Linked DNA regions of Elephas maximus indicus. The main gene of each other region encodes a partner of the protein of the gene in region 2 in a complex. Links are inferred from orthologs where the notes say so. Each region holds a gene or a part of one and is shown on either strand. Other genes may lie near its edges.

Evidence for each region.
Region 1: EXOSC3 (region 2) and EXOSC7 share a complex: the UniProt entries of both Homo sapiens proteins name them as parts of the RNA exosome core complex. The link is inferred for Elephas maximus indicus from reciprocal best matches to the Homo sapiens genes EXOSC3 and EXOSC7.
Region 3: EXOSC3 (region 2) and EXOSC1 share a complex: the UniProt entries of both Homo sapiens proteins name them as parts of the RNA exosome core complex. The link is inferred for Elephas maximus indicus from reciprocal best matches to the Homo sapiens genes EXOSC3 and EXOSC1.

The regions. Positions count from the first base shown.
Region 1 is NC_064838.1:49,288,423-49,292,170, reverse strand, and holds the start of EXOSC7 (exosome complex component RRP42), read right to left. Parts: upstream 2,246-3,748; 5' UTR 2,224-2,245; coding exon 2,167-2,223; intron 1-2,166. UniProt on the Homo sapiens protein: Non-catalytic component of the RNA exosome complex which has 3'->5' exoribonuclease activity and participates in a multitude of cellular RNA processing and degradation events.
Region 2 is NC_064827.1:46,654,384-46,658,131, forward strand, and holds the start of EXOSC3 (exosome complex component RRP40), read right to left. Parts: upstream 2,779-3,748; 5' UTR 2,715-2,778; coding exon 2,394-2,714; intron 1,655-2,393; coding exon 1,505-1,654; intron 1-1,504. UniProt on the Homo sapiens protein: Non-catalytic component of the RNA exosome complex which has 3'->5' exoribonuclease activity and participates in a multitude of cellular RNA processing and degradation events.
Region 3 is NC_064834.1:49,202,442-49,206,189, forward strand, and holds the start of EXOSC1 (exosome complex component CSL4), read right to left. Parts: upstream 2,623-3,748; 5' UTR 2,569-2,622; coding exon 2,538-2,568; intron 2,436-2,537; coding exon 2,320-2,435; intron 3-2,319; coding exon 1-2. UniProt on the Homo sapiens protein: Non-catalytic component of the RNA exosome complex which has 3'->5' exoribonuclease activity and participates in a multitude of cellular RNA processing and degradation events.

The DNA.
Region 1 (3,748 bases), on a different chromosome or scaffold from region 2:
TGGCACTCCTACTGTTTCCCACATAATACAATGGGGGCTGGGTATAAAATGGTGAATAAAACCAACTAACGTTGCCCGAACTATATCCTAAGTATCTCAGGGGCCAGACTGTAGCTTTTTTTTTCCCTCCCCACAGCACCCAACATATAACAGGTGTGTAATAAATATAAATGACGTGCTGACTGATTTTAAAGTAATAAGGAAGAAAAGCTTATAGCCTCAGTGGGTCTCTGATAGGCAGTTGGACAGTGAGTTGCCATGGGAACTAAGGATGTTTGTAAGACATCTCTAACCTAGGGAGGTTACAGACAAGGAGGACTCACTTATTTTCCTATCCTATGTCCCTTGGTGCCACTGTCAGAGATGGAATGTGAGAGAGAATTGGCTGTAAAGTGTAACCAATATTTCCTGGCTGTGGTAGCAAAGGAAAAAACCTAAAGGCTTTTAGATTTAGAAATAAAACATAATCCTTAATGCCTCCCCTAAGCATTCCTTTGAGGAGGAAAATCATCTGAACGAAGTTGGCACAAAAATAAGACAGGGAAGGACAAATCTAATTGCTTTGTGAACGGTTTTATACCTCCCAAACACAAATAACATACATACGCCACTCAGTAACACACACACACACATATATTTCCTTATTGCTGACCCTGAAGTAGATCTTAAAAAGTTCATGAACCTTTACGTTCTGACTCTATTATTCAGGTTTAATATTGTAGGGTAATCCTATTCAGCTATATGCATACCGTCCTAATGGAGTCAGCTTTGCTCTCCCCCAAAGCATGATGGGGATGAATTCAGGATGGACTTGGGCTGAGGTACAAGGACAGGAGTGGTGTGACTAGGCCAGTGACCAAGGCTGAGGAAAGCCTTAGCAACAAGAAGAAAAACATCTGGGCCTGGACGTGAAGTCCCTGGGAACGGTAACTGCCCAAGGACGTGGGAGAAAAACCATGAGCCTTGGACCCAGCTGGAATGGTATATAAGCTCGTGTCCTATGCTAGGTGATTGTGGAGCACTAAACTAGTCCAGCTGCCGCCCTGGGCCACGGTCCTGTAAGTAAGTGTCCCAATAAACCATATGTCACGATGACTGGTTCTGGAGTCTTTCTTCAGTCTCTTGGAGATGTGGCCCACCTTGGGTTCAGGTGTCGCTGAGTTGTTACACAACAAACAAGCAAACTGTCAGCTAAATATTGATGTTTACTTCCTCTGTAACAGGCACACACAATAAAAAAAAAAAAGCAGGCCACAATTTTAAAAAGGACACGGCCTTAACTCAGTTGTGGAGTTTTAATGATAGCTGGCTGCCTAATCTATTACCTACATCACGGGACCACTGACTGCAGTTTGCCTTGGCTGAGAAAGGGCATGAGGGAGGGTGCAGTAGCTGCCCTCAGAACTCTGCCATAGGTGGGCTGGAGAACTGGGATGGGAGAGCCGCGCAGTGGCATAACAAGAGTGAAGGAAGGATAACAAGAGCCAGAGAAGGAAGCTGGGTAGCTCCTAGCAGGCCCAACATCCTCCAGCTCTACTTCTGGAGTGGTCCAAACTAGGGGTTGAAGTCTGAGCAAAGACAATGGGTTCTAGCTGTTTTTAGGGATCTTAGTTCTCCAATGGCAAAATGGGAAACAGAAAGAATTACGCTACTGGCTGCAAAGCCGCCTTTTAAATCATAACATCCCTCCTTCATCTGTAAGGCAATATATATCTTCAAAGCGGGTGTGTGCTCTCTCTGAGCCACCAAACCGCCAGCTGAGAAAAAGAGAGCCAGAAACACACCTCCCCCCATTTCCTAGAAGAAAAAACTGAGACTAGGCCAAGCGAAGCGTCACGCAAAGGGTGAAGAGATGGTCCGGGGGCGGTATTTCCCCCAGGAAAGACCTCAAGAAAGGCCTCTGGGAGCGCCCACCCCTTCCTACCCAGGTTCAGAACCTTGTAGGCCCGAAAAGCTGCAAGTACGAGAAGAGACCTAAATGGATGCTCGCCACCCAGTCCTAAAAACGGCCGCGTTGCCGGCTTCGGGATGCAGAATCCGAGCCATTTAATCACAAGGTAAATCCAGACTCGCGGCAACCTGGGGCCTCCCCAGCCGGGAAACCGAGGGCCAGCCGCAGCTCGCAGGGCCAGCGTAACTCTACGGCCGACCTGCTGCTGCAACTACCTGGACGCCATGCACGATGTACACCTTCTCCGCCTCGCTCAGCGCCACGGACGCCATGCTGCAGAGTCGCCCTGCTCGCCGTACGTCATCCGCCCGCGCCCCCTCCCCCAGGCGGCCGCGCCCCCTGCACCCGAACGTCATCAGCCAGCGCGGCGGCCGCTCCTGCAGCCGCTGCTGCCGCCGCCGCCGGGAGCTCGATGGGCTTCTCCTGCGCGCCGCCGGGTGTCTGGCCGAGTCCAGGGAGCCGGGGAGCCATCGCCGCAGCCCAAGGCCGGGACCCGTGTCGGGGAGTGCAAATTGTGGCCACGGCGGCGGCGGCAAGAGTCTCCCCGGCGGCCTGGGACTGGGGAACTGCCACCGGCTTCACGGTCAGTTAGAAGGGGGAACTCGGGTTGGGGTGAAGAAACTGGGGTTAGGATAGGCGCGCGGGCCAGGGCTGGGGGACTCGTAGTAGGAGAGGCACGAGGCGCAGTTTGCTCACAGCTGGAGTTGAAGTAGCAGGTCATGTGTGTGTAAGAGAGAGGAAACTGACAGACCCCGAAAGGAGCCGGACGTCGTGATTGGCCCGGGGGGCTATCTCCCCACTCTTCCCGCCCCTCCCTTTCCCTGGTTCCTAGAATGGTTGAAAAGTAGAAGCAATGAAGCTCTCTTCGGCTCGGTCTCCGTGGGAAGGGTCCGGGCGGGGAGTGGGGTCACTAATCTCGAGGCATCGTCGCCGCCTTCCCCCGGTCCCTCAAACTCCCCCCTCCTCTCTCCGAGGACGAATCGAACGGGTCGGGGGGCCAGGACCTTGCAGGGCCCACTTCCCCGGATGATCGCCGGAGCATTGTCCCGAAAAAAGTAAGGAGGATCTTGGCAACCGGCGCTGGCGCGGGCGCAGTGCCGGGGCGCCCCCAGCGCTTCCCATAGGGGACTGGAAGTCCCGGCTTGATGGGGGTGATCGTGGGAGCTATGGCAGCTGCCGGTAAAAAAGCCAGCCCCGCGCGGTGGCCGAGTCGAATTCTGGGCCTTGGATATCCAGACAGGATACCTGCAAGGTGAAGCTGGGGTCACCACAGGAGCCCATTAAGGCGGGGCAGACTCGGTACGGTACAAGTTTTAAAGGGGCCATGCGGATAAATGGAGGAAAGTTGATTCAAAGTGGTTGAAACAAGGAATGGGTCTGATGACTTCCTCGTGTCCCGTTTTTGAGGAACCTCCTTCTCTGTTGTCAGAAACCAAAGTAAACCTTAACAGCTTGATTATCCAAAGAATGGTTGATTTTCTCAGATATTGGCTTCGGTACAATTTCACAGATAACTATTGGGAGCCTACTACAGATGGGCTTTGTTCTAGCTTTGGAACACTAAGACAAGTAAAATGCAACTTCTGCCCAGAGAAGCTCCCTGTGCAGAGGGGGAGGCTGGAGGGTCGAGGGAACCACAGAACGTTGTGGTTAGAGCTATGATGGTAGCACCAATGGGTGCAGTGGGACTGAGAACCAGGAGGTGAGTCAGAGAAGGGTACGGAGAGGAAGTGTCTGCCCGCATTCTTAAGCACTTAACTGCTGAGCCCCAAAATAGATGATCACTTTTTCTTAGAC
Region 2 (3,748 bases):
TAAAACACCAGGAAATCCCCAAACGGGAGCAATGCCAAGGCCAGACAACATACTCTGGGATTCCACTGTTCCTTATGTTAGCCGCTAGCTACATGTGCCTATTTAGACTTACATTTAAATTTAATAAATTTAGTTAATTAAAATATAATTCAGTTCCTCAGTTGCATTAGCCACATTTCAGTCCTTGATAACTACATGTGGCCAGTGGCTGTCAGTGAAGGTACAGAACATTAGCATCATCACAGAAAGTTCTATTAGGATTCCAGAAGGTTTATGGCTAGAGGAAGGAATTCCTGGCATGCTCAAGCAAAATAGCTGGAGCAACGATAAGCCACTGATATTTCTCCATGTAAGGTTTACTTAAAAATCTCATGCAGTGGAACTTCAAAATGATAATACTGAGGAAAGACAGTGAACTTGTTCTGTTTGCTCAACAAAACACTGACTCTGAGAACTACAGATGAACAAAACATTTGCTACCCTTCAGAAACATTTGGTCTTTGGGGGCAGTTAGGATGTACATATGAACAAAAACTTCATTCAAACCGGAATCCAGTAAGTGCTAGAACAAAGTTAAAGTGATTCAAGATTGGAGATGGCTTTACAGAGGTATCTGGTGTTTGGCTGGGTTTTGAAGAATGAGCATGTCCCACAGATAAAGCCTGAGCGGAGGTACAAGGGACAGAGGGCACAGCATCAGCAAAGGTACAAGGGCAGGAAATTATGGGTTTAGTGGTGCTATCAAATACTCTGGTGTGGCTCAAGCATGGCTGTATGCAAGATATAATTATGGATGAGGCAAGACCCCTGGGGTGTCATGCCAAGGAATTCTTTAGGCTTTGAAGAACATTCATGTTTTGAGAAAGGGAGTATGTAAGGATGTCAGCTCTGAAAAGCCTAGATGGAAGGATGAGAGTGTGGAGGCAGGGATGTTAATGAGGTCACTGACCAAGGCCAGTTAAGGGTAGCAAGGCCTGAACTCGCAAAGTTGAGATAAAGGGGGTAGACATGAAGATCAGAGAAACAATAAAGCAACTGAGAACATGCGAGGAGTTAGAAGGGGCAAAGAAACCACTCAACTTCTGGTTTGGATGGACAGAGGGCAGTATGGCTACACCGTGAGATGCCTGTCCCAGGGCCTACAACCAGGATGGATGGATGGCTGATACGGCAATTTGTGCCACTTGTCCATTCTCCCTCTCTGAGCCTATTGCTGACTACCTTGGTCAATGCCCGTGATACTGGAGATAACAGATAAAACCTTTCAATGCAGTAGAGATGTAACATTCCAAGAACAAATGTTGCAAACATAAAACACATATGTAGTCTAGTTCAAGAGCTGAAGCACCTGAAGGAACTCTTGGAAGCCTGAGAGATCATCCTATAAAACTAGGAAAAGTGGTCACGCTTTGGCAACAGTTCAGTAGCCTTCTGGATATTTTTGTATTCTAGATAATGGGTTTATTTTTTTTATACTTTTGAAACCAAAGGCCCCCATCATTACCTGCACGTTTGGTCTGTTTCTTTTAGTTGCACCTTCAAATGCCAAGTAAGATAAAGAAGCTGGCTCACTCCCTCCAACGTCAACTTTGAATATATCTCCAGATTTAGCTGTCACTATGCCAATCACATGGTCTCCTTTCACTGGGACATACTACAAAAGAAAACATGAAAGAACAGCCACAAATTAAATTTTTTCCAGCAAGTCCTTAGTGTTTACTTTGTTATGATTATCATTAAAATGTTTAGAAAATATTTTGCAATTCAAGTTATTTATAGAAACTTTACAACAAACTTTATCACATACCACTTTCAGTAAATGAAAACCAGTCACATCATATTCTCTCAAGCTTGCAGCTTCTAAAAGTCTGTTAATTGGTGCCAGTATGCCATACCTGAATACCATCTTCAGCACCCTTACCAGAAAGTCTCCGGCTTCTGCTTGCACTTACATCCAGTGGCACAGGGTTCCTTACTACCAAAGAAGCCCAATCCATTGTTCGACAATTCTGCCTACGAGAAAGTTCTCACTTATTCTGAGAGAAATTTAACTCCTGATGATATCCACTCATCAAGCCTGATTCTGTCCTCTGGGGCCTCAAAGAACAAGTGTGTCGCTCCCTGACCTTTGGGGTTTTGAAGACAATGGCCATATGTCACAGTCCTTATCTCCCTTATATGCTAAGGTTTCCACACGCCTTTCTCCCCTGATCGCCCTTCTTTGGCCACGTTCCTGTTGCTCACGGTCCCTCAAAGGAGATGGGAAGGTGGGCACAATCTCAAAATGACAGACGGTGTTTCAGGGTCCCCTCCTTTTTCTCTTCCAGGAAGTTCCCCAGGATAGGGATACCACTCTCGCTGGATAGGGATATCACTCCGGAGCCCCAGCTCACCCGCTTCTGCTGTGAGTCCACCCAGTAAACGCCGCCGCCGCCGCCGCCGGGCTCCTTGTGACGTAGGCGGCCGCACTTGGTGACCAGCAGACGGTCCCCAGAGCGCCGCAAGCCCGGGCCGCACACTACGCGCACCCGCGAACGCGCCCCGGGGTTGAGGCGCAGCAGTCGTTCCCCAGCACCGCCAGGGCCTTCTGCGTCCTCCTGCTCCGGCAGCAGCAGCTCCTCACCCGGGAGCACCACCTGACCTAACACTGTGCGCGCCGCCCGGGCCTTACTGCCCGCGAGGGATTCGGACGCAATAGCCGCAGCTTCACCCATACCAGGCGCCACCAAACACCAATTCCGGCACCGTGCTTCCACTTCCGGCTCTGCGCCCAATCGCCAGCCCGCTCAGCACTTTCCGTTTCCGGCGCTACGGGTCAGTGGGAGTGGTTCCTACGTCTGTGAAGCCAAATCGCCGTGAGCCGGCGGATACCCCCAAGGTGGTTGTGGTTCCTCCTGGTCAGTTGTCTATCTTCCGGGTGTTATGAGAAACGCTCAGCTTGAGTAGACCGCGGAGCCTGGACTTCCGGGTGTCTCGGGCCGCGTGTCTTGTGGCCGGTCGCACCGTGAGATACAAGATACTCCCTTGTATGGAATCCTGGGAGTTGAACAGAGGGGCTTCCAGAGTTGGGGGTCGGGTGGACTCATAGTCCCTTCGCCTCGAGCCTGCCCTCAGAACGGTGGCTGACCTTTTACCAGGAGAGGTATTTTCTTTCCAAACTAAAACCTTTTTGGTTGTTGCCAAGAAGGCGTTTATTCGCATTGTGGAAAACACAGAATTAATAAACATAACTTCTTGGTTTTACCCGTTTGTCTCAAGCTAGACCGTCAGCCCTAGTTCTGACTCTTTGTAGCCCAGGGTCTGGCGTGAAATAGGTAACACGTGTTGGATGAATGAATGTTAACATTTTGGTGTGTATTCTCGCTAGACTTATTTTTCTGCAAATATACACATCACATGCACAGTTTCACATAATTGAGCTACACCTACATGACGTGGGAAAATCAGTTAACTACAGTTGAATCCCTGCTGCTACTTACCCTGGGGCAGTTCACATCCGCCAGGTGCTCCTTGGATACTTTGTGGGGCAGTTCTACTCTGTCTTACAGGGTCGCTATGAGTCGGAATCGACTCGATGGCAGTAGGTAGGTTTTACTTACCCTGAACCAACACTTTGGTTGCCCATGTAAGAAGCAGCTGAATTGCAAATTCATAGTACTTCAAGGCTTCCTGCCCTTATGACTCAGGGGTATTATTTGAAATCACTGTTTTCTCTGTCAACTGGCACCTCCAATTAGTGGTTGGTCAG
Region 3 (3,748 bases), on a different chromosome or scaffold from region 2:
AGCTACAGAGAGAATAAAAAATGGGAATCCTGGCTAAGCTCTAAGTAAAGTTATTTGTGGCTTGGGAATACTAAAGGAATCCCTCGGTCCCAGTTAAGGTCACCAGGGCAGGTCTACCATGGATTGATTTATAACCCATTTATAGGAAATGGGAGGACCAAGATGGGAGAACCAAGGGGTCATGGGAAGAATGCTGCCAGAAAACATCCTGTAACAATTTCGAATTAGTTCTAATAAGTTTTTTTGGTGATTCTCTTAGATCGTCTAGGTAAACAACCATATTGCCTATGATCACTGATGATTTGGCTCCTCCAAAATTTTATTACTTCTTTCTGTTTACTTTTTTGCACAGGCTAGAATTTCCAAATCAATGTTATTTAATAGTGGCCATACTTGCTCTCTTTTAAGGGAATAATTCCAGAGTTTTCTCTTTGAGCATGGTATTGGCACTTGCTCCCTCATTTTTTAACAATCTCCCCCTTGCTCACTATGCTTCAGCTTTCCTGGCCTTCTTTCACTTTCTTCAACTCACTAAATTTCCTTTCACTCAGGAGCTCTGTTCTGTCAGTACTATCCTCTCCCATCTACCCAACTCCCACTTACCCTTTAGGTTCAGCTTAAATGTTACTTCTGTTGACTAAGCTGGGTTTGTCTGCTATAGGTCCTCATGGTACTCTGTAATATTCTTTGAAAGCACTCACACGCTTGCAGCCATATACTCATTTGGGCATTTGTTTACAATTCATGTTTCTGCCCCTTTGATGGCAGAGATTACCTGTATTTGGTTTATTACTAGACCCTCAGAGGTTAGCACTGGGCCTGGCATGTGAAAATGCTCAACAGACCTCTGTGAACAAACTAAGGAATGTTAAGGATATTTTCACAACTGGTTGAATAAAAAGCTCCTCATTTCACAGATGAGGAAGAATCTAATGCCAGAGAGTTTAAATCTTTTAACTGAGGCAGAATCAAGGTCTACTGAGTCAGTACCTACATGTTATAATTCTGAATCCTTTTTCTACTATGCTACTTGTCTTAAGCTGCTCCTTCAAAGATTGCTCAGCTGATCCTGAGCTAATCCTGGATCAGCCTCTGGAACTAGGGAGGATGTTGTTGTTAGGTGCCATCAGGTTGGTTCCAATTCACAGCAACCCTATGTACAACAGAAGGAAACACTGCCCAGTCCTGCGCCATCAAATTTCATTCAAGGTCCTCCTCTTTTTCACTGACCCTCTATTTTACCAAGCATGATATCCTTCTTCAGGGACTGATCCTGCCTGATAACATGTCCAAAGCACGTGAGACAAAGTATCGCCATCCGTGCTTCCAAGGAGTATTCTGGTTGTACTTCGTCCAAGACAGACTTGTTCATTTTTCTTGCAGTCCACGGTATATTCAATATTCTTCATCAACACCATAATTTGAAGGCGTCAATTCTTCTTTGGTCTTCCTTATTCACTGTGCAGCTTTCACATGCATTTGAGGCGAATGAAAACACCACGCCTTGGGTCAGTGTGGATAGTACTACTTATTCATTCAACAAACATTTATTGAACATCTACCTTGTGCTAGGTGCTGAGGGAATGATGGTGAGGCCTGCTTTCCTGGAACTTAAGAGTCTAGTAGGCAATATATAGATGACTGTTTAATTATAAGCTGAAATGAGTGCTTGGAAGGAAAGGAATACAGCTGAGAGTGTTTAACAAAACAAATAAACGACAAACGAGAAGACACAAAACGCTCTTCCCCAACTAGTGGGTTCAGGAGGGCTTCTTTGAGATTATACTTGAGAGACTACTAGGATAGGTATGTAGAGTAGGAGAAGAAAAACTAGGCTGAGGGGAATAGGTAGGAAGGAGGATAGGTGTTAACTAGGCTAAGAGGGAGTGGAGCATGTTCCAGACTGATGGCACATGTATAAAGGCTCTGTGGCAGGAGAGAGCTTAACGCTTTAGCGACGCTGGAAGAAGCCAATATGACGAGATCGCAAAGAACGAGGGTGGAGAGAGTGAAGAAGGTTGAAGCCAGGCGACACTCAGCATTCAGCTCACGCCTGGGCTGGGTTACTGTCAGCTCACCTCTCCTCCCCCCAACCTCCCACCCCGAGTGTTAGCAGCACAACAAAGCCAGATCACCACAGCTGGTCGAGGGTGGCCAGGCGCACAGCAACGAAGATTACAGCTGGAAAAAATTCAGAGACCTAGTTTTTCTATTGGTGAGGCACTGAAAACGCGTTCTCAGCGCCCCTGCCTAAGAACCGCGAAATCAAAGGAAGCCTAAGAGAAAGAGACCGAGGGGACGGAAGGCCGTCGCCTTTACCGCGCCGTTCTCGCTGCTCTTCGTCAGGCAGCCGGCAAGCGACGAGAAGATGTAGCCGTGCCGGGTGTAGGTGCCGCTGCCCGGGCTGCCCTCCTCCAAGTTACACAGACGTTCGCCTGCAGAAGAAGCGCCGCGTCAGCCACAGACCCCCAGGAGCTGTTGGCCGTCCAGCCTCCGGCCTCTGTCCCAATCCAAAACTCGGCAGACAGCTCACTTACCCGGGACGCAGTACCTCACGGGGGGCGCCATGACAGCCACTGTCCCAGAGCCCGGATGAAAACGAGGCCGACTTCTTATTGGCCAAATCCAGGCACAGCTCGTCAGTAACAAACGCGCCAATTGGTGTGTGTTATCACGTGATCTACGGGAGTCCCACCCCCTCCTCGAGGGACAAACTTCATATCCCAGGTTGTCCCGAGACAGGTCCCGGGGCGGAGCTCCAGGGCTCCTGCTGTTGCGCTTGCGCCTGTCTGTGGTCGAGGATGGGCTGGCTGTGGGTCCGGGTCCCCCCGCTGGTGTTGCGGCCGGCGGGCCACGCTGGGTCGGATTGAGTCTGGGCGCCGAGCTGGAGGGGCTGGCAGTGAAGGGCGGCGGAGCCTGCGGGGCTGGATTTAGCTAATCGGAGAGCCGGCAGGTAAGAGCAAAGCCGCGGCTCTTGCTCGCCATCCTGGTCCCTTTTTCTGAGGTGGGGCCCTTTCCTGGAGCCCTGTGGAGTCCCCGGGTTCCTGCTCTCTTTGCTCCGCCCTGCAGGGCCGTGCCCTTCGCTGGCTCGGCCAAGCGCACCCTCCGGGCAGCGGTAACGAGCGGAGCAGGAAGGCCAAGCAACCCAACTCGCTCATTTCATGGATTTGGAAATTCAGATCCAGAGACAGGATTTTACTTGTTCAAAGTCTCGGAGATAGTTCAAGGTAGAGTCCACACAGGAGTTTTTTTTTTTTTTTTTTTTTTAACTTTCAGCCCATCGCACTTTGACCACGCCGTCCTCCTTGAGAAATAAAACCTCTTCCCGATTTCTCTAACTGCAGCTTCGGATTCTGCAGTCGGATTCTCTCAAGCGGAGCTCTGGTCGTGTGGGCCCATCCTTAGCTTCTGATATTGCCACTCTGTTTTCTTCCCAGCACGTTAGTCCGGAAGCGAAGTCATGCAAATGAATAAAATGCTGCCCTTTACTGATGCCCGCCCGAGTTCTGCTGCTTGAGATTGCAGATATCCTGAGAGCAGCATCTTTGTTCAGATGAGATTTGCCACGACTTTTAATCTGTTTCCTCTGCCTGCTGGTGGCTTTGGAATCTATCCCTCTCTGTCTACTCCCCACCCCCATTTCCAGCTTCCCTATGAGGCAGATGGTGATTTAGTGCCTTGGGAAGAAGGGATTCTCCCTTTAGTGCTGTGGCCTACAATCCCTAGTTGGCTGGCAGATGTCACTATG